Linked DNA regions of Cricetulus griseus. The protein of the gene in region 4 binds, or shares a complex with, the protein of the main gene of each other region. Links are inferred from orthologs where the notes say so. Each region holds a gene or a part of one and is shown on either strand. Other genes may lie near its edges. The genes, in order: Gtf2h4, Polr1h, Gtf2e2 and Polr2h.

Evidence for each region.
Region 1: Polr2h (region 4) and Gtf2h4 share a complex: the UniProt entries of both Homo sapiens proteins name them as parts of the TBP-based Pol II pre-initiation complex. The link is inferred for Cricetulus griseus from reciprocal best matches to the Homo sapiens genes POLR2H and GTF2H4.
Region 2: Polr2h (region 4) and Polr1h share a complex: the UniProt entries of both Homo sapiens proteins name them as parts of the pol I pre-initiation complex. The link is inferred for Cricetulus griseus from reciprocal best matches to the Homo sapiens genes POLR2H and POLR1H.
Region 3: Polr2h (region 4) and Gtf2e2 share a complex: the UniProt entries of both Homo sapiens proteins name them as parts of the TBP-based Pol II pre-initiation complex. The link is inferred for Cricetulus griseus from reciprocal best matches to the Homo sapiens genes POLR2H and GTF2E2.

What each region holds. Positions count from the first base shown.
Region 1 is NW_023276806.1:229,573,927-229,578,220, reverse strand, and holds the end of Gtf2h4 (general transcription factor IIH subunit 4), read left to right. Parts: intron 1-114; coding exon 115-211; intron 212-295; coding exon 296-384; intron 385-547; coding exon 548-659; intron 660-791; coding exon 792-860; intron 861-1,022; coding exon 1,023-1,106; intron 1,107-1,306; coding exon 1,307-1,439; intron 1,440-1,611; coding exon 1,612-1,742; intron 1,743-1,907; coding exon 1,908-1,955; intron 1,956-2,100; coding exon 2,101-2,179; intron 2,180-2,637; coding exon 2,638-2,810; 3' UTR 2,811-2,931; downstream 2,932-4,294. Other genes in the region: Vars2 (valine--tRNA ligase, mitochondrial), read left to right, coding at 3,337-3,537, 3,850-3,931, 4,018-4,118. UniProt on the Homo sapiens protein: Component of the general transcription and DNA repair factor IIH (TFIIH) core complex, which is involved in general and transcription-coupled nucleotide excision repair (NER) of damaged DNA and, when complexed to CAK, in RNA transcription by RNA polymerase II.
Region 2 is NW_023276806.1:228,751,153-228,756,981, forward strand, and holds the start of Polr1h (DNA-directed RNA polymerase I subunit RPA12), read left to right. Parts: upstream 1-2,300; 5' UTR 2,301-2,343; intron 2,344-5,829. UniProt on the Homo sapiens protein: Core component of RNA polymerase I (Pol I), a DNA-dependent RNA polymerase which synthesizes ribosomal RNA precursors using the four ribonucleoside triphosphates as substrates. Can mediate Pol I proofreading of the nascent RNA transcript.
Region 3 is NW_023276807.1:51,042,848-51,047,337, forward strand, and holds part of Gtf2e2 (transcription initiation factor IIE subunit beta), read right to left. Parts: intron 699-4,490; coding exon 583-698; intron 1-582. UniProt on the Homo sapiens protein: Recruits TFIIH to the initiation complex and stimulates the RNA polymerase II C-terminal domain kinase and DNA-dependent ATPase activities of TFIIH. Both TFIIH and TFIIE are required for promoter clearance by RNA polymerase.
Region 4 is NC_048597.1:67,931,377-67,937,403, reverse strand, and holds the start of Polr2h (DNA-directed RNA polymerases I, II, and III subunit RPABC3), read left to right. Parts: upstream 1-2,447; 5' UTR 2,448-2,789; coding exon 2,790-2,862; intron 2,863-3,839; coding exon 3,840-3,923; intron 3,924-4,168; coding exon 4,169-4,262; intron 4,263-5,297; coding exon 5,298-5,381; intron 5,382-6,027. Other genes in the region: Clcn2 (chloride channel protein 2), read right to left, coding at 758-841. UniProt on the Homo sapiens protein: DNA-dependent RNA polymerase catalyzes the transcription of DNA into RNA using the four ribonucleoside triphosphates as substrates.

The DNA.
Region 1 (4,294 bases), on a different chromosome or scaffold from region 4:
AAAAGTGCATTGGACCAGGTGTAGGTGTAGGGTGTAGAAAGTGTCCCCTTCTCATGGCCTGTGGGGAAGCAGGAAGCAGACAGGGCTCCTTACTCCTGCCCATTCTGGCCACAGGGGCAAGGCCTGGTCTGATGACACAAGTCAGCTGGGACCAGACAAGCATGCCCGGGACGTCCCCTCACTTGACAAGTATGCTGAGGAGCGTTGGGAGGTGAGGATCCGGCCCCTGTGTGCCTCCGCTGGGCCCCCATTCCCGGGAGCCCTTGAGACCCCTGTCTGATCCTTTCTTCTCTAGGTGGTCCTGCACTTCATGGTGGGCTCTCCCAGTGCAGCTGTCAGCCAGGACCTGGCTCAGCTCCTCAGCCAGGCTGGGCTCATGAAAAGGTGAGGAGGGGAGGGCACAGCCACTCGGGTCTCAAATAAAGTGGGTGCCTGGGGTTAGGAGGGAGTGAAGGGAGTTGGGTAGGGAAAGAGGTTTGAATAGGTGTAACCAGAAACGGGTAGCCCTTCTGTGCATGTCGCTACCGTCGCCTCTCTCCATTTCTAGTGCTGAACCTGGAGAGCCACCTTGTATCACTTCTGCTGGCTTCCAGTTCCTGCTGCTGGACACGTCGGCCCAGCTCTGGTACTTCATGCTGCAGTATCTGCAGACCGCCCAGGTACGAGCCAGGGCCTAGGGCAGTGTGCCCGATCTTCTCAGGTCCCACTGAGTCACAACCACCCCAGACTCTGCCCGTCACTGCCTCATCCCCTCTCTCATGTCTCCTTTTGCTCTGCCCCTTTCTCCTCAGAGTCGGGGCATGGACCTGGTAGAGATTCTCTCTTTCCTCTTCCAGCTCAGCTTCTCTACTTTGGGCAAGGTGAGTAGGGGGGTGGAGGACAGGCAGGTAAAGAGACGTCATGGAGAGATAGAATGATCACAGAACTACCTGAGAAGGCAAAAAAAGGGGGAGGGGTGCAGGGGGCTGGGCGGGGAGTGGGAGGACGAGTCACAGCCCCCAGCTGGCCATCTCTTCCCCCAGGACTACTCTGTAGAGGGTATGAGTGATTCTTTGTTGAACTTCCTACAACACCTGCGTGAGTTCGGGCTTGTTTTCCAGAGGAAGGTACGCACACCCAGCCACCTGGCTTTGAGGAGAGTGGGGTGTTGGGGTGCAGCAGAAAGCCCTTGCCAGGCCCGAGTGCTTGGGTCATTTGAGGGGGGGAGTTAAAGGTTGGTGGTTTTGCACTGGGGGATCTGATGTCTAAGAGGAAGCTGTCAGGATGGTGACCTGAGAGAGGACTGTATTTCCCCGTGTCCTTCCAGAGGAAGTCCCGGCGTTACTACCCCACACGCCTGGCCATCAATCTCTCATCCGGTGTCTCTGGGGCCGGGGGCAGTGTGCATCAGCCAGGCTTCATTGTCGTGGAGACCAATTACCGACTGTATGCCTATACTGGTGAGGCTGGAGGTTATGGCCGTGTGTGTGTGTGTGTGTGTGTGTGTGTGTGTGTGTGTGTGTGTGTGTGTGTGGTTTAGGAGCCCTCTGGTATCTCTTCTAACACCTGAGGGCAGGGCTAGAGGAAGGCAGGCATGGGCAGCCTCCTCACGGCTCTTCACCCCTGGGCCAGAGTCGGAGCTACAGATTGCGCTCATCGCACTTTTCTCTGAGATGCTCTACCGGTTCCCCAACATGGTGGTGGCACAGGTGACCCGGGAGAGTGTGCAGCAGGCCATCGCCAGCGGCATCACAGCCCAGCAGGTATCCCTACTTGAAGTGGAGGTCAAGGTGGGAGGAGGTACCCCCGCCATGGGAGCATAGCCTCAGGTCTGTCAGGTCCCCGTGTCTAGGCAAATACAGGAGATGCTGTCGCAGTGGCATTCGGTGACTGCCCTGATGGCTTTCTGCATCCTTGTGTCTTCCCAGATCATCCATTTCCTAAGGACCAGGGCCCATCCGGTGATGCTCAAACAGGTATGGATGGGTACCAGGATGCTGGAGGCTGGCAGCCTGGGCACCCAGCAAGAAGAGGATGGGTGAGAGCGGGTCAGCCAACCCACAGAGACTGCTTTAGGCACTTGCCCTGGGTCCTATAGCTCCGCCCCTTGTCCGCCCGCAGACTCCTGTGCTGCCTCCCACCATTACAGACCAGATCCGGCTGTGGGAGCTGGAAAGGGACAGACTTCGTTTCACGGAAGGTGAGTGGCCTCTGCTGACCTCCTAATCTTGGTCACTGACTAAAGAGGTAAGGTCAGCAACTTGGCCGCGATGAGTGAGAAGGGTCTTGTGCATTTTTTATTCCCTTCCTCCACCCCCACCCCGAGAGGGGGAGAGAAAAGCCCGTCCTTTACTGTGATATATCGGTAGCAGGAACTATGTCCCAAATCGGTGCGGTTTGGATCAAACTAGCCAGGTGAGGGTAGGAGGCAGGGAAATCCAGTCATCTCCCCGGGTAGGTTTGCATGGTTTTTTCTTGTGGTATTCTGTTGTCTTTTCGAACGTCTGGATGCCACGGGTGTTAAGGTTATCCACAGTGATCCGTAGAGAATCCGTTCTTAAAACTGTGGCCTGCTGCCCCAGCGGAGACGCCGCCCAGAGGGGAGGGGCCATGGCCACCGCAGCCCCTCTCACCTCCTGCCCGCCCACCCGACCCCAGGCGTCCTGTATAACCAGTTCCTGTCGCAAGTGGACTTTGAACTGCTGCTGGCCCACGCGCGGGAGCTGGGCGTGCTGGTGTTCGAGAACTCGGCCAAGCGGCTGATGGTGGTGACGCCGGCCGGGCACAGCGACGTCAAGCGCTTTTGGAAGCGGCAGAAGCACAGCTCCTGAGCCGGACCGGCGGACGGGCGAGCGAGCGAGCGAGCGGGCTGGCAGCTTCCCAACTCAGGCGTATTTTGTTTACACACCGGGACATTTCTTGTTTAATAAAATTAACGGAAAAAAAAAATAAGCGGTTCCAGACACCTGCACGCGTTTTCCCATCCGAGGCTGTGGGACCCGGGGAGCCAGTGTCTTGTGCGCACGCGCCGGCGTGTTCCCGCCCCCATGCGCGTGCGCACAGACGGCGGCGTCCCTGCTCACACGCAGGAAGGATCCGCCGCGGAGGTCCAGTTAGGGCCGTGTCGTGGAGGTTTGCGGGGTTCCCTGGTTCCCGATCCCCGGCCTTGTCTTCCGCGTCAGCGCGGGGGTCTCAGTGGCTGCAGAAGGCTGTTGACACCATGCGCTCCGCCCCTAGGCGGGAGGACACAGAGCAGGGGATCCAGCCGGTGGGAGTGAGGCAGCGTGACCTCCCGCACCCCGCGTCCTCCTGAAGCCGACCCCGACCCCGACCCCGACTGCTTCCCAAACACTCCCGATGCCTCATTTACCTCTGTCCCCTCTCCGGCCACCGCTCTGGGCGCTGAGGCCCGCCCGGGGGCTCTGCAAGTCCCAGCAACTTTGTACCCAGCCAGAGCTCCAAGGCTCACCCCTCGCGCGGAGGAACCGTGAAGCCAAACAGAAGCGCCTGCGGGAGAAGCAGGCGGCCCTGGAGGCCGGGCTAGCTGAGAGGAGCAAGGTCAGGGGTCAGCCCTTGGGTCTTCAAGACTTGGGAAGGGGCTGAAGGAGACTGGTGTACTGGGAATTGCAAAGCACACACACACATTTCCGCCTTCCTACAGTGTGTACTGGGAATTGCAAAACACGCACACACACACACACACACACAAACGCACACACACACACACACACATTTCCGCCTTCCTACAGTGTGTACTGGGAATTGCAAAACACGCACACACACACACAAACGCACACACACACACACACAAACGCACACACACACACACACAAACGCACACGCACACACACCATTTCCGCCTTCCTACAGTCACCTGCAGTGCCCTCGAAAGCCTGGAGTCACAAGGAGGTAGTATTGTATGAAATCCCCACCGAGCCAGGTGAAAAGAAAGGTACGGGTTTTTTGTTTTTGTTTTATTTTATTGCTCTTTGGCCTGCTGAAATGCAGTTCAGTAGTGGATCTCTTGTGTTTGTACAGATGTTTCTGGGCCCCTGCCTCCTGCTTACAGTCCCCGATATGTTGAGGCGGCCTGGTACCAGTGGTGGGTGCGAGAGGGCTTCTTCAAGCCAGAGTATCAGGTTAGTGCTGGGCCTATGAGGTCGCTAGGACCGATAAGCAGCCCCCCCAACGTGGTGGGCATGGGTCAGCTTCACAGCCGACCTTTCTTTTGTCCCCTGGCTTCTTCAGGGGTTTTGCTTTTCCCATGTTGGATTTTCTTTGAAATTCTATCATCATCATCATCATCATCATCACT
Region 2 (5,829 bases), on a different chromosome or scaffold from region 4:
CACCTGCTAATCCTGCCCCTGACAACAGTCGGGGCACGCACAGGGACTGCTACTCCACATTGTCACCCGTCACATATTATGGCTGACATGAGGACTCTGTACATGCATGGAACCTCAGTGTGCATGCACAGTCTTCCTGGTAAAAGTTCCAACTTCCCCGCTTAATCTTTCTTCTTCCTCTCTCAGGTGACTGACCATGGCAGTCAGCCATTAACTCTGTCTCTCTTCTCTCTCTGTCCTGCTCTGTTCTTCTATTTCTCTCTCACTTGCTCTCCCATGATATAAAAAACTATCGTTAATGTATCTCTATAGTCTCATGTCTCATCTTGCGCCTTCTTTCTTCTAATTTAAGCAAAAGAATAACAAGCATCTTCAAATTTATTAGAACATGGGTTTGGGGCCCTGGAGGGATGGCTCAGTGGTTTGAGCACTGGCTGCTCTTGCAGACAACCCACATTCAATTACCAGCACCTACACAATGGTTCACAGCCACCTGTTACCTGTTTCACAGATCTGATGTCCTCTTCTCACCTCCACAGGGACCATGTACACACATGGCAAACAGACATACATGAAGGCAAAACAGTCATACAATACAAGTAAATAAGTATGTGAAATTTAAAAAGTTGTTTTTAAAATTAACATACTAGTTAATTATACTCTGATTTTGCTGCCATCTGATGTAATGTTCCCCCCCCCTTTCATCTCTTATACTATTAATTTGAGGGTTTTCTTTTTCATTGTTTTTGATACAGAGTCTCAAGCTGGCTTGGAACTTACTATGTAGCCCAAGCTAGCCTTGAACTTCCAACAATTCTCTTGCCTCCACCTCTTGAGTATGTAGGTTTTACCATTATGCCCAGACCTATTAACTATGAGTATATAACCACAATGGAATGGGAATATAGCAAGGTATAGGAGCAGGCTTGTTAAGTGACTGAGCAACAAACATGTCCTGGAGAAAATCCTGCACATGAACTAGAAACATAAGGATAGAATTGTTATTGCTCTTTTTTTCTTTGTAAAAGCATAACTCCAAGTTGAGAAAAAAAATCAATAGTGCAAATTATGTGAACAGACCAGGTAATTTGTTTTTAGCACATTCATTTTAAGTTCTATATATCTTCAAGGATGAATTTAAAAACATCAATGAATAAAAGTTCATCCCCACAATGTAACTGCAAATAGTACCACTTAGAAATACATTCTTGGATGCCGGGAGGTGGCTATGAGTGGGAGTACATGAAGCTTTCTGGAGTATGGTGATGTTCCACTTTTCAGCCTGAGTTGTTACGGGGCTTTACTACGAAGCCCACTGTCTTCTGGCTCCAAATGATCCTGTCTAAGCTCTGGGATTACAGGCATTTACCAACCTACCAAGCTTAAAGAAAATGTTTTCTCTCATGCCTCCTGATCTGAGGTCCTAGGCTAGGGGTTTCCTCTAGGACTTCATAATCCTGCATCCTGCTTGGTCCTTTCCTTCCCATAGCTGGAAAATGATGTCCTTGCTCTCAGATCATTTCTCCAGGAATTGGTTCTCACCATTCCATTCTGACTCCTAAGTCTAGCATTTTCACTCTCTTCACTTACTAGAGCAGTGGTTCTCAACCTTCTTGATGCTGTGACCCTTTAGACAGCTCTGGATATTCATGTGGGTGTTTCTGCATGGGCATGAACTCATGTGGAGACTGATAGTGAAGGGACCAGCTTCCCTTTCAGCAGCCATAACAGCCGAACACATGCTTGCCATAACCTTGTCTTGGTCACTTAGAGGTCAGATGCCTGCCTAGTGACAAGGAACCAATCAGAAGTTAGTCACTAGAAAGTCAGATGCCTGCCTCGAGACAAGGAACCAATCAGAAGTTAGCTGGTGGCGCTATACTTTATGACCCAGGGTGTGCTTTATGGATAAGCACTCAGCAATGACGCACAAAGCATAGCAACCACCCTGGGAGGGCCTATGGGCCATAACAACCAGTTGGCCAATCAACACAGGGCAAGCCCTCCAAGGCTGGAGGCACACCAATAGTGAGCCTGTGCATACCCCTAGACACTCCCCTTACGCTGCCCTGTAAGATCTCTTGGGAGACCCTAGGAGCTGTCTTTTGCGAGCCATCTGCCACGGCGGGTGGGTAAAAGACCCGAGCTAACATGGGGTTAGCTTGTTAAATTACAATAAAGCCTCATGCAGTTTGCATCAAGCTCTCGAATCCGCCTGGTGATTGGGGTGACCGAGAATGTGGCCTGGGACCCCGGATACCTGAGTTTTCCGGGGGGTCTAACATTTGGGGGCTCGTCCGCGATTTGCGACCACCCTTCACCTGAATGGATTCGATCTTGGAGGTAAGATGATTCGAGCTCGCAACTTATATGTTCAATGTTATATGTTTGCTTGTTTTTGTTGGTTTGGTGCCACTTGAAATTGCTCTTTTGTTGATCTGAGCCTGCGCAGGACTCGTGATTTGTAATTTGGACTTCAGGGGGAAATAGACATATTTCAAAGTCCCGTCCTGGACAAAAGTCCGAGGGCTATTTGAATTGAACCATAGGGTAAGCAGACGTGCACAGAAATAGACGTATTTCTGGAATCCTTGGTTCCGCCCTGGATGAAGTCCAAGGGTTGTTTGTAATTTTGGTTTGGGGCACCATTTCTTTGCCACAGGGTTTGTCCTGTCTGATGTCCTGTTTTGCTGTTGGTGTCTGTTAAGCCTAGAGGATTGGAATGGGCTGGGTGACTGAACAGTTGAGCAACAGGTTTGTTATCTGTTATCTGATCTGTTGCAGCCCACACCCTAACCGTCTGCTTGTGTGTCAATTTTACTATTTCTGTTAATTTTGTGGATATGGAGGTCCTATGTTGGGGTTTCTGGCGACATCTGTGAGTAGGCCTACAAGAATTGTTTAAGGCGGAAGTTCGGGCGGCAGCCTTCCGAAATCTATAGGGGAGACTTGGTTTCGAACCAAGTTGATCTCCACGGGGCTAGCCATCTGAAATTCCGAATAGGACCCTAGTCTGTGTTAAACATCTCTTTCTGTCCCTACTGCCCATGCACATGGAATGCATGGGTCAGGGGTCTTTTCTTGATGCTCTGAGCACATGATGCCACCTCAACTGTGATCAGCAGATGCGCCCGGAGGACAGACTGCTGCTCTGAGGACACCCAGGAGGTACGAACGGAGGCCAAGGACTTGGATCCTCCTCAGTTAGTGATGATTGTAGCCGCTGGGTTCTGCAGCCCATCTTCCGTCGCCATTGCCTTATAAGCGGCGCGGGCGGATTGGGTTGGCGTCTGTTCTTTCCTGTCTATTCTGTGTTATCATCATTGGTTTTCAATTCAGGATCCACCACACCACCCCCTTTCTATCCCCACCTGCGGGTCTGTGAGGCATGCCAAGTGGGGCTGTTTCTGCCCCAGCTGCCATCCTGCCTGCCAAGGGAGTTTCCCTGCTCTGAGGGAACATGGCTGCAAGGCCCGCCATCTGCCTGGCTGCTCGGCCTTCTCTGTGCTCCACACACATGGTATGCAGGGGGACCGAGGGGGTCTTTATCCCATTATCCCACCCCTGCATTGGCCAAGGGTCTGGGGTTACCACCAACACCCCCACCCCAGGTCTCTGCCTTGAGCACATGGAGCTGGGGCGTATGAACTTATCTGGCCTGATCCGGACTTCTAAAAAAAAAAAAAGGCCTTAAAGTTATTAAAAGTTATTAAAAACTGTAAAAGGGACTTTGATAAAAATTTTTACATTGACTGAGAAATGAGAGAAAATGTAGGAGACTTAAATAATAAAGAGAAAAAGGAAAAAGAAAAATTTGTCTAAGAATGTCTAAGAAAATCAGAGGAAAGAACTATAAAAAGTTATAGAAAGTTAAAGCAAGTCATAGAAGGTCAGAAAAGAGATTATTAAAAGAGAAAAATGTAAACTGTTTGCTATGGTTTCTCATGTCAACAAATAGTAAATTTTAAAAATGGTAATATAAGTTAAAATTTTAACCATATTAAGCTAATTCTGTTTTTAAAAAGTCCTGTTTATTTCTCAAGTAATTTATGTATACTTGTTTTAAAATGTTCTTTTTCCTGGTATAACCTAAGTTCTGTTACAAGCATGTTAAGCAAAGGGTGCAAGTTATGGCCATTTTGTAACCAGCCACATGGCAAACTGGTCACATGGCTGACTGGCAGCCATTTTGCTGAAGTTGAAAAAAGATACTTAAACCGCCATCCTGACTAAAGATGACCGCGTGGAAATTAGAGGTTCCATCTTAGAAACAAGCTTTTCAGTTAAGATTTAAAGTGTTAATGCTTCTATATATTACAGAAAGATATTAAGGGAATTTAAATTTCTTTTTAAAACCAGTTTTTTAAATGTTTATTTTTATTAATGTTTGTACTTAAAGAGCTTCAATTTAAAATTATTTTTAAGCAAAGCCTGACAATGTAAAATTCTTGTTTTATAAAAGCTGCTAATCTATTATAAGATGTTTATCTTTTCAGAAGTTAAGTTTAGGGTGTTGGTGGCACACGCCTTTAATCCCAGCACTCCAGAGGCAGAGGCAGATGGATCTTTTTGAGTTCAAGGCCTGCCTGGTCCAGCATATTGAATTCCAGGACAGGGTCCAAAGCCACAGAAAAACCCTGTCTCATTTGAGCAAGCAGCTAAAATGTGTACTTGTAGCTACTGTTTAAGGACTATAATGTAACCCTATGCAGTCTTAAATTCAGCTGTGCTAAGTTTCAAATATTTTACTAAGTTAAAACCAGTTACAGTCAGGCTGAAAATTAATTACAGAAATGAGACCTCACCTAGCCACCTGTATGTTTCTTGTGTGCTTAAGGTGAAAGACCCCTGCCCCTTAGCCCTTTCTTTCTCAAGTTTGTCTCCTCTTCCTCCTGTCGGCGGCTTCCCCGATCCCCACCCCCGGCGGCTTCCACTTCCCCCGCCACCAGCCGCACGCCCAGCCCGAGAACGAGCACCAGGTGGGCTGGCCCGAGAACGAGCACCAGATGGGCTGGCCCGAGAACGAGCACCAGGTGGGCCGGCACGAGGGCAAACACCAAGTGAGCCGGCCTGGAGCCCGGCCCCTGAGCCCCCGCCCGATGAGAAACACTCCGTCCCAAGGTCTCCGCCCCCAAGGTCAGCCATCTGGACGCGGAGGGAGGGGGAATTGAGTCTGTTGTACCAATGGGAATAGCTCTGTACAATGCCTCATTAGAATTATCCAATAGAATCCCTGCTCCTAGCTTGCGCCTTTTTCCCTATATAAGGACCCCTTTCCCTTGGCTCGGGGCGCTTAGCCACACAGAAGCTAAGTCGCCCCGGGTACTCGTGTCTCCAATAAAGCCTCTTGCTTTTGCATCCAAGTTCGTGGCCTCGCTGATTCCTGGGTGCGGGTCTCCTTCTACGAAAGTACCTCTTCGGGGGTCTTTCAAAGGCAAGCAACTAAAACAGACAAACAGACCTCTAATGCTTCAGAGATCTTCAGAATATGGCATTTAAATTGTTATCTTTAAAGTTTATAATGTCAGACAGACTGTCAGATCCTGACAGTGACCCAAAGTCTCCAAAGAAGATTATGAGGCACCTCAGTCCTGCACCTGGACCAGTGAGCGAGATGCTCAGATGTGATACCTGCCGCCTGCCAGGACCTAGCCGAGACTGTGGACAAAGCTGGACACTGGAAAATTGATTGCACCCTCTTTGCCTAGACAAAACAAGGTCAGTCTTTTCCATGTCCCTCTTCCACAGAGAGGAAAAAAACCTCTCACCTTATAAGCCTGGCAAAGATTGCTGTTCTTTGAGACAGCTGCCTCCAATGGTAATGGAAAA
Region 3 (4,490 bases), on a different chromosome or scaffold from region 4:
ATTGGTATGAAGGGGACAATGGAGGTCTAAGAAAGAGCACCAGATGAAGATGTGGCTCCTTTTTGAAACCAGGGAACGTATGTATGGGATGAGAGGCCAGAAATGTTAGTCCCTGACTGGACTCAAGTTGCACTGCTAGACAGGCTGGAGGATAAGAAAGCTCTCCCAGCTGGGTGTTGGTGGCCCACACCTTTAATCCCAGCACTCAGAAGGCAGAGGCAGGCGGATCTCTGTGAGTTTGAGACCAGCCTGGTCTACAACAGTTCGTTCCAGGACAGCCTCCAAAGCCACAGAGAAACCCTGTCTCGAAAACCAGAAAGAAAGAAAGAAAGAAAGAAAGAAAGAAAGAAAGAAAGAAAGAAAGAAAGAAAGAAAGAAAGAAAGCTCGCTCTCCCAAGCTGGGACATCACCATGGATGGTTCACTGGCCTCAATACATCAGATATGCCCAGCTGTATCTGGCAAGTCAATGAATGCATTAGGCTCCGAGAAAACCTAGTAGAGGGAATCCCTTCCTCACTTGTCAGAGGAAGAGGAGAAGCAGTGAAGAAGTGACGAAACTGCTTTTATAAAGATGACATACCACTTTCTTTGGTCCAGATTCCTGCATAGAAGAAATACCCTGTCGCTTGAGATAGTCTTCAATTTTCTCCTCATCCATTGAATCCACAGTGACGCTCCTCCACAGTTTCTGGAATTCTAAACCAACAAGACAGTAGTTACTTTATCATGGATTTTTATAAACCACTGTATCTTGTGATCTAAATTCACTTTGAATATTATCGGGCCTAAATCCATACAACTGAGATTTCACTAAAAAAACAAACAAACAAACAAATACCTATAATTGTAGCAGTCAGGAGGCAGAGCAGGCTGACCTCTGTGAATTCAAGGACAGCCAGGGTAGCAGCAAATTCAAGGCAGACAGGATACATAGTGAGATACAGTCTCAAAAAAAGAACGAGGGGAGGGAAGGCAAGACTATTCCAGTGCTGGACACAGCAACAGAAGGGGTCTCTGATCTGAAATGCAGCTGGACAGCCACCAGTGTGCTCTATTCTTCAGAAACAGTAAGAGAAGGATGGTGTGGCTGAAGCTTCTCCTATATTCCATGGGAAGAGAAGCAATTAACACTCTTCCCAAATCAGCTCCCTCCCTGTGGCACAAATTATTCAAATACTGGTTCAAGGCCCTGAGCGCAATGTATTCCACCTCTGTACTGAGAGTTAGAAGCATTTGGGGAGACGGGGCACCAAAGCTTTATATGAAGGTGACATGCTTGTTTGCTTACATTTTTTTTCTTTTTTTTAAATCTACTAACCAAGGAACTGGTAAGTCACAAAAAGGAAAACCAAAGCAAAACAGCTGGGGTGGGCTGAGAAATACGCATATGAAACAAAGTAGAAAGATGGGTGTCTAGCCTCCATGTCATTCATGTATTTGACACGCACGAATACAAAAATCCTTTGCACTTTAAATTCTTCTCCTAAAGACAGCTTTAATAACCAAGCTCATTAAGAGCCTTGTCAGCCTTTCCTTACACACACACACACACACACACACACACACACACACACACACACACACACACACAGAGTGATGGCCAAGTCTTACAGTGTGTACTCTGGGAACTGAGAAAGGGTGGCTCCCAAACACTGAGGTGGTTCACAAAGCTTCCTGTTTACCACAGCTCAGAGGCTGCAGACCAGACAACTATGCCAACCCCTACACCAACATGCCTCTTCCTTCCTTGCCAGTTCATTAACCACACACTTCATCTGCAAGCTATATGACAGCTCAGTGGCTAAGACTATTCTTGCGGGGAACCCATGATTTGATCCCCAATATGCACATGGTGGCTTACAACCTTCTATAACTCAAATTCTAGGGGTTCAGATGTCCTCTTCTGGCTTCCATGGCCTTGCTCACTCACATGCAGTGCACAGAAATACATGCAAGCGAAATACCCATGCACATAAAAAAAGATATTTTTTTTCAACTTTTATTACAAAACAAATGGTGACTAAGGCTGTACCCATGTGAATCCATGCATACTAACTAATGCATTATCTCAAGGGTCAGAGTTCATACAGCCAGTTCAGCTACTGTTTGGTATATTACCACACCTTCAACACACTCCTGAACTCTACCAGGAAGAAGGCCCCCAAATACACCTCTTTTCTGTATAACTCACTCAATCTGTGACACTTAACAAAAGACTGGGATACAATCTCAAACTAAGAGTAACAGCTGCGGGCAACATGACCACAAACTACATCACAGTTATAGTAATCAAGGCAGCACAAAAACACAGAAACAACCTACAAAAGAGAATATAGAAAGGACTAACTTAACATGAGTTAAAATAAATATCTCAGTTGGCTTTTCTTTTCTTTCTTCCCCTCTGCCCCAAGACAGGGTTTCTGTGTGTGTGTCCCTGACTGTCCTGAACTAGCTCTGTAGACCAAATTGGCATTGAACTCAGATCCATCTGCCTCTGCCTCTGAATGATGGAATTAAAGGTGTGCACTACCATCGCCAAGCTTAGTTAGTTTTCAATATGTGAAACAGTCTGTAAAAACAGAAAATGGGAGAAGGAAATATAAGGGTTGCTAGAGAGATGGCTCAGCAGTTAAAAGTAACTGCTGCTCTTCCAGGAGTCAGGTTGGCTTCCTCAGTACCCATATGGTGGTTCACAACCATCTCTTTACTCTAGTTTCAGGAAAAAGCCCTTTTCTGGCTTGTGTGGGCACCAGGCAGAGAAGTGTATGCAGATATACATGTAGGCAAAAAGTATAAAGTGTACCAGAAAAATCTACTTGAATCTACAAGTAGAAAAGGAAGGCAGGTTATCTCATACCATAGGTAATAGTCAACTCAACATGGATTAAAGACAGACAGAGACACAGACACACACAGTTTTTAAGAGCTCTCTCTTTTTTTTTTCTTTTAATTTATTATGTATACAGTGTTCTGCCTACATGTATCCTGGAAGGCCAGACAGAAGAGGGCACCTGATCTCATTACAGATGGCTGTGAGCTACTTTGTGGTTGCTGGGAATTGAACTCAGGACCTCTGGAAGACCAACTAGTGTTCTTAATCTCTGAGCCATCTCTCCAGCCCTGGTCCTGTTCATTTTTACTAAAGCTGTCAATCCTCCTTCCTCCACCTCCCCTGTGCTGGAATTACGGGCATCAACCATGGCCAGCAAGTTTTTAAATAAAACATTTTTCTTGCCGGGCATTGATGCCGCACACCTTCAATCTCAGCACTCGGGAGGCAGAGGCAGGAGGATCTCTGTGAGTTAGAGGCCAGCCTGGTCTCCAGAGTGAGTGCCAGGATAGGCTCCAAAGCTACACAGAGAAACCCTGTGTCAAAAAACAAAAACAAAAACAAAATCACTGACCAAGTAGGAGGAAATTTTTATTTCTGCTTACAGGTTACAGTCCAACACTATGGGAAGCTAACGCAGGAAAACTCTGCTTACTAGCTTGCTCCCTGCAACTTGTGTTCAACTAGCTTTCTTATAGAACCCAGGACCACCACCTAGGCTCCAAGGATGATACTACTCACATCAGGCTAATCTCTCCTACACCAATTAGCAATCAAGAAAATGCCCTACAGACATGCATTTTCTCAGACTGAAGTGCCCCTTTCTCAGTGTGTCAAGCTAGCAATTAAGATTAGCTAGAAGTAAGATACACTCTGAATGTAGATGGTTCCTTATCTTGAAGGGCTGAGGTTCCCAGGCTGAGTAACAAAACCAGCTGTCACTAGCACCTTTTTCTGTTTGCTGGCTACAGTCACAATGTGACAAGCTGTCTCTAAGTCCTGGTGCAATGCCTCCCTGACATGATAGCCTTTGTCTGTCTGTCTGCCTGTCTGTGTCTTTCTATCTTAATTTGTGAACCAAAATAAATCCTTCCTAAACTGCTTTTAGCTGCTGTGAGATATTTAGTCACAGAAATGAGAAAAGTAACTAGTACAGGTGGGAATGTAGGTAGATAACACTGACAACGGACTATTGATGAAATACAAAGAAGCAGGTTATTTTCTTACAAATGCTACAAAGTTCACCATGAACATTTTACAAGATATTAAGATCTGTTCACATACATCTTTTGACCCAGTAAAACTCCTCTTCAAGAAAATGGGCATATGTAAGCAGGGCATGGGCACACAGCTTTAATCCCAACACTCAAGAGACAGAAGCAGGTGGATCTCTGTGAGTTCCCAGGATAGCAAGGGCTATGTAAAAAGACCCTGCCTCAAACAAAATGAGTATATGTATGCATGACACCAAGCATCACTTATAATAGCATGTGGCAAAATAAGTAAAACTTTCTACAGCAGAACATAAAAATTGTGCTAAAGTACATGCAAGCATGAAACAAATGTTACCAAGTATCAAAAATAGTGCTCTGGTCTAAGGATGTCCTTTTGTGGAGGGGGGGAAAAAGCCTGCCCAGCATGCTCACAAAGCCCTAGGT
Region 4 (6,027 bases):
TTTCTGTAGGGCTTGGGCCCCCCACCCTAGTGACATGAGGGTGAATGGCTTCTTAACTCTTGACTTGCTATGAGTCATCTCAAAGCTCAGGACCCCTGCTTCTGATGAGGTCAAGGGACACTCCATGGGCGTGGGTGGTAGTGGTGGTGGGGTACCTGCCTAGATCCAGCTAGAACAAAGGTTCCAATTCTCACACCCATTCCTGCTTCCTGCATCAACCCTCAAGCTTCGGTCCCCAGGGTGACAAGCCACCTAAGCCAGCCACCTTTCCCAAAAGTTCGACTGAGGGGTTCTTGTCAATGCTGGACTTTGAGTCTTTAAAGGCAGGGGGTAGGTTTGGATTTGATTACTTCCCTGCAGTCTTTATGTCCAGCTTAATGCTGTGGCATAGTAGGGACACAGGGAAGGTGTAGAATGTGGATAGGCATTTGGAGAAAGTTCACAGGTATCGAGAAAGGGTACTGGGGTGCTGTAACTTGGTAAGTGGAAAAAACAAAATCGTGTCAGCCGAAGGGAGTAAGGGGAAGGACACCTGGGCCAAACACCTGGTGTCATTGTCCTCTCCAGGCCACCAGTCTCAGCCAGAAACCAGCAAGCAGCTTTCAAACACCCTGAACCTATAGCCTGTCGGATCCCGAACCTCAGTTTCCACAGCTGAGGAAGGCTGAGGCCGGGCTTGGGTAGGCCGCCTGTGCTCACACTTCCTAGGGCAACCTGCAGCAGTGGTGCCATAGCGCACCCCTTAGGTTTCACTTACCAGGGTCTGCTCATACTGCAGCGCCCGAGGCTCCATCCCTTCCCCCGCCGCCGCCGCCGCCGCCGCGGCCGTGGCGGCCGCCATCTCGGTGCACTGTCCTCTTGCCTCCCTTGGCTTCTCGGGCTCTGGCCTTGACTCAGCTCCCGGCCCGCTGAGCCCGCGCCCGCACCCGTCCCGTCCCCTCAGCCCCGGCGGCCGAGTGCAGAGTGCGACGGTCCCCGGGCGCGCGCCGCAGGCTCAGCCTCTCGCTAGCGTCCCCTCCTTGGCGGGCGGGCCGAGGGCGGTGCCCTGCTTGCTGCTCCGCCCTGGCCCATCTGCAGGGGCGTCCGGTCGGGCTGGGGTCTGCATTGGAGCCGCCTCCTGGCCTCCGGAGAAGCGGCAGGGGGCGCTTGCAACGCGATCTTGCACCCCTTCTCTGGGGAGGCCGGGGGCTGACCCGGCCCCGAGAGGGTGCGGGGCCGGACGGGGGCGGGTCCGCTGGCACGTGGAGGGGACGGGCTCTCGGGCGGCTGCAGCGTTGTGCGGGAGGGGCTGAGGATGTAGTGACTCCAGGGCTGGGGCAGGGGGCTGCTGACGAGCTATCTCGGGCTCTCCAGGCCAGACTCGACTGGGGCAGCCTCTGCTTCGCGTTTGCTGGCGGCTCAGACGGGTCTGGGAGGATTCCTGAGAGCCCGCTCCCTTATCGCCTCCCTTCCTCCTTTCTTCTTTTCCTCCGGGTTCCCCCGGGAAGGTGCACCTGGAACTGCTAGGCCTGGAGATCGGGGCGGAGGTGGAGGTGGGAGGGGACGGGAAGGGGTGAGGCCCGAGGGAAGGGAGCTATTGGTGCGGGGGAGGCTGCTCCTGGGAGGCGGGCGTGGGGGAGCAGAGGTCGCTCCTCCCAGGCATCGCTTAAAGGGGGAACTTGAGTAGCTGCTGACGCCTCGAGGAAGCGGCCCAGTGAAGCTCTACGTTGTCTTTCGGGATCCTTGGAAGGATAAGAACAGTGTGGCGTTGGCACAAAGAGGATGGACAGCGTTAGGTTGGTGCCACTGGAGAGGACGGTGCCCAGAAATCCGTGTAGAAAGAACAGCATCAGGATGAAGACTCATTCAGCAAACAGAGGGTGGTGCTCAAGGGGAGCGTACGGTGCCCAGTACGGGGGCTGCGATGAAAGGAGATAGCACCTGGAAAGAGCGCGCTGCGAGCTGTCGTTTCCCAGGGAAAGGCCAGTGTCGGGTGGAAGCGCACTGGATCAGTGTCCAGAAGAGGGTAGTGTAGTGGGGTGACAGGCAGTACCAAGTTCAATTGGCAGTGTTCTAGGGGATCAGAGTTAGTGCCAAGCAGGGCCAAGGGAAGACCGGCGTGGCGAGGAGGTGAAGCCCCAGGCGAGGGCACAATGCGGGCTTTCCTTTCCCTGACAGTGACATCACGGCAAATTCCCAAACCGGACGGACCCGGCTCGGGTGACGTCTAGCTGGTCAGAGCCAGCTCGGACCAGCGTGGGGAACCTTGGTGGCCGTCCGAGGGGCTGGGCACTGCGTCCCGCTGGGCGGGCGCTCTGCGGGTGGAGTTCGGCTTCACCCTCCTGCAGCACGGACTGTGCCCTCGGCGGGCACGCGGACCGCAGGGAAGGGCTAGGGCCGGGCTCCCTCTGGGCCAAGGATCAAGGTTCCTGGCTGGGTCCGGTCCCGGAGCCTTCCAAGCATCGGGATCCGGGGTCTGAAGAGGGCGCCCTAGAGCCGGGCGCATCGCGGTACCCGCCGGGGGTGGGACTTAGTCTGTCCCCGCCTTGGGCGGAGTCACCGCGCTTTGAGACTCGCCCACAAGGTCCGAGCCACTCCGAGGTGGCCTTTCCCGGCGGAAGTGAAGGAGCCCCGAGGGGAGGCAGCGGAAGTGGCTGCGTTGCTGAAGCCTGTGCGCATGCGCCCTGCGGCTGGTTGCCGCTTTTTGGGGCGGTACTCTGCCCTGTCTTCTTTTCTCCACGTGAGGGGGTGCGCGAATTCCCAGTGGTGGCCGCGCGCTCCGCACCTCTGCAGTTCTCGTGCCCCTTACGATGGCGGGCATCCTGTTCGAGGATATTTTTGATGTGAAAGACATTGACCCAGAAGGCAAGAAATTTGACCGAGGTAAGGTGTGTAGGGGAGGTGAGGAAGAGGCCAAACATGCCCACCCACCCCAAGTGGCCCGTCCCACCCTCTCGGTACCTCCCTCAGGAAACAGTGTTTTTCATAATGAGAAACTTGGGACAGCTTTTCCTATGATGTTTGCGGTGTCTGGTGCCTCGGTGGCCCTTGGCTTTGGGGTTGGGAAAGCCCTGGACACCTTTCTGACTCCTTATTCAGTATTACGTGCTGTATGTACCGTGCGCCTCTCTCGCACACTTAAGTATTGTAGTAAGAAGTGATGGTGCCCGATCTATTTTGTTACTTAAGGCCGTGCAGCGAGTTACCTCCCTGTCTTCCTAACCCATAGTTTTGTATTGCCCCAAGAATTGTTAGCCCTTTGCCGAGTCCTCTATAAATTTCATGCAGCTGACTGCTTGGTGTATTCATTTCCCAGTAATCCGGAAGTTGTTTCTTCTCAGTGTCACTTTACCTGGAGACAGACCCCCCCCCCCCCAATACAGATTCTCTTTGTAGCTCTGGCTGTCTTGGAACTTGCTTTGTAGACCAGACTGGCCTTGAACTCAGAGATCCACCTGCCTCTGCCTCCCAAGTGCTGGGATTAAAGGCGTGCCCCCCCCATTTTTAAAGACAGGTGTCAGTTCTCAATACACCCTGCCTATTCCCTCCGCAGAGTGCCTACTAGGAAGTGGGGATCTCTGGACTAATGACTATCTTGTTCAGAGTTGAGTTTAGTCTAAATCATCCAGGTGTGCTTAGAGCCTAGAGACGGGTTGCTGCCAGAGAAGTTCTGCTTCTTTCTTGGGATCCTGACACTTGCTGAGGTGTTTACTCCCTTTCTTCTCTGAATCTGATTTGGATTGCACTCTGTGTCTGTGTCCCAGAGCAAGGCTAATGGCTGTGGACTAGTTGAAAGATTTGTTCTCCTGCATTCGACCCCGACTCTGTTGCCTGTAATTATGTCTGTCGCTCTTTCCCAGTATCTCGGCTGCACTGTGAGAGTGAATCTTTCAAGATGGACCTCATCTTAGACGTGAACATTCAGATTTACCCAGTGGACTTGGGTAAGTGTCCAACACAGGAGCTAGCAAGTGAATTTTTTTGTTTGTTTGTTTGTTTTTCGAGACAGGTTTTCTCTATGGCTTTGGAGGCTGTCCTGGAACTAGCTCTTGTAGAACAGGCTGGTCTCGAACTCACAGAGATCCGCTTGCCTCTGCCTCCTGAGTACTGGGATTAAAAGCATGTGCTGCCAACGACTGGCTTTAGCAAGTGATTTTTATCTTTGGTTTCCGCTTGATGCTCTTTTCAGGTGACAAGTTCCGATTGGTCATAGCTAGTACTTTGTATGAAGATGGTACCTTGGATGATGGTGAATACAACCCCACAGATGACAGGCCTTCCAGGTGAGGCGGTGGTAAAGGAGGGACTAAATAGATAAGTAGTACATAGAATGGTCTTTATTTTACTGCTAGAAAAAGACATTACTGCACTTAGAATTCACACAACCAGAACTGGGTGTGATGGTTTGTGTCTGTAATTCCAGAACTCGGGAGATGAGGCAGGAGGATGAGGAGTTCAAGAACACCATTGGCTGCACATCAAATCTGAGACCAACCTGGGCTGGAGACCCTGTCTCTAAAAAATTTGAAAAAAATTTCAAACAACTGGCTTGATTACTTAGTGAGAGCAGTGAGTGGAAGCTTGTGAACTGCAGTTGTTTATTTATTTGAGACAGGGTCTCACTTTGTAGTCCTGGTTGGCCTGGACTATGTAGACCAAGCTGGTCTCAAACTCACAGATGACATCCACCTCCTCTGCCTCCTCAGTGTTGGAATTAAAGGTATGTACCACCACACCCTGCAAATGTAGCTTTTTTAAGGCCTAGAAAATGATTACATAGTAACCTAGATTTTGGTGTGACAGAAAGACTGTGGAGTATTGGGTCTGGTGGTACACACACTTAATCCCAGCATTTAGGAGGCAGAGGCAGGAGACCTCTGTGAGTTTGAGGCTAGCCTGGTCTACATAGCCAGTTAGGACAGCCATGACTATATACTGAACTTTTACTTCTCAGCTCCACTACTTCCATCTTCCATTTCCTTATCAATAAAGTACAGACAGTCATTTCTAGTTCACTGAATTGATGTGAAAGCCAAATAAGGTTGCGCTTCCATGGCATTTGTTGTTATCAGTTTCTATTTTAATTATTTCTATCTTTTTGGTTTTTCGAGACAAGGTTTCTTTGTGTGGCCGTGACTATCCTGGAACTTACTCTGTAGACTGTCAGGCTGGCCGAAAACTCACAGGCCTCTGTCTCTGCCTCTGCCTCTGATTCCTGAGTGCTGGGATTGTGCCACCATGCCTGGCTCAGTTTCCATTTTTAAATGTCTCTTACACTATTGATTGCTGTGAAAAGTAACTTTGCCTATTGTTTGTAGGGCGGACCAGTTTGAGTATGTCATGTATGGGAAAGTATATAGGATTGAGGGGGATGAGACCTCAACCGAAGCGGCGACACGTCTGTAAGTAACATTGTCTGGCTGTTAATAATCCAACCTCCCTGTTGTGAAATTGGGTCATGCTTCTCCTTCTGTATCAGGTTCTTTGTTTTTTCTAGTACCCGAAGCCGGGGTGGAAGAATTTGTTTTGGGAACAGTTTCTAGTCTGAATTTTGATTACTTACATCACCTGCTATCAGGATTTCAAGGCCCTGTGGCCCACAGGAGACTTTGGTAATCTTGCTTCATGAGGGACAACAGAGAACATCTTGGGGGATCACAAGCAGCATTTCATGACTAGGCCTTTTTATTTTTTACTTGTGTATGTGTTGCTACTCTGTAACCCAGACCTTGGTTCTTTAGTTTCCCTGCCTAATTTTTCTTTTTCTTTAAAATTGGTTTTAAATGCCGGGCAGTGGTGGCACACGCCTTTAATCCCAGCACTCGGGAGGCAGAGACTAGTTCCAGGACAGGCTCCAAAGCCACAGAGAAACCCTGTCTTGAAAAACCAAAACAAAATTGATTTTAAAACAATATGGTTGTTAGAATCTTGAAGCAGAAAATTAATGTGAAAAAGAACAAAAGTCACCTAGGAGGACGTTTTTTACAATTTAAATAGCTGGTGTGGTGCACACCTTTAATCCCAGCACCTGGGAAGTAGAGGCAGGTA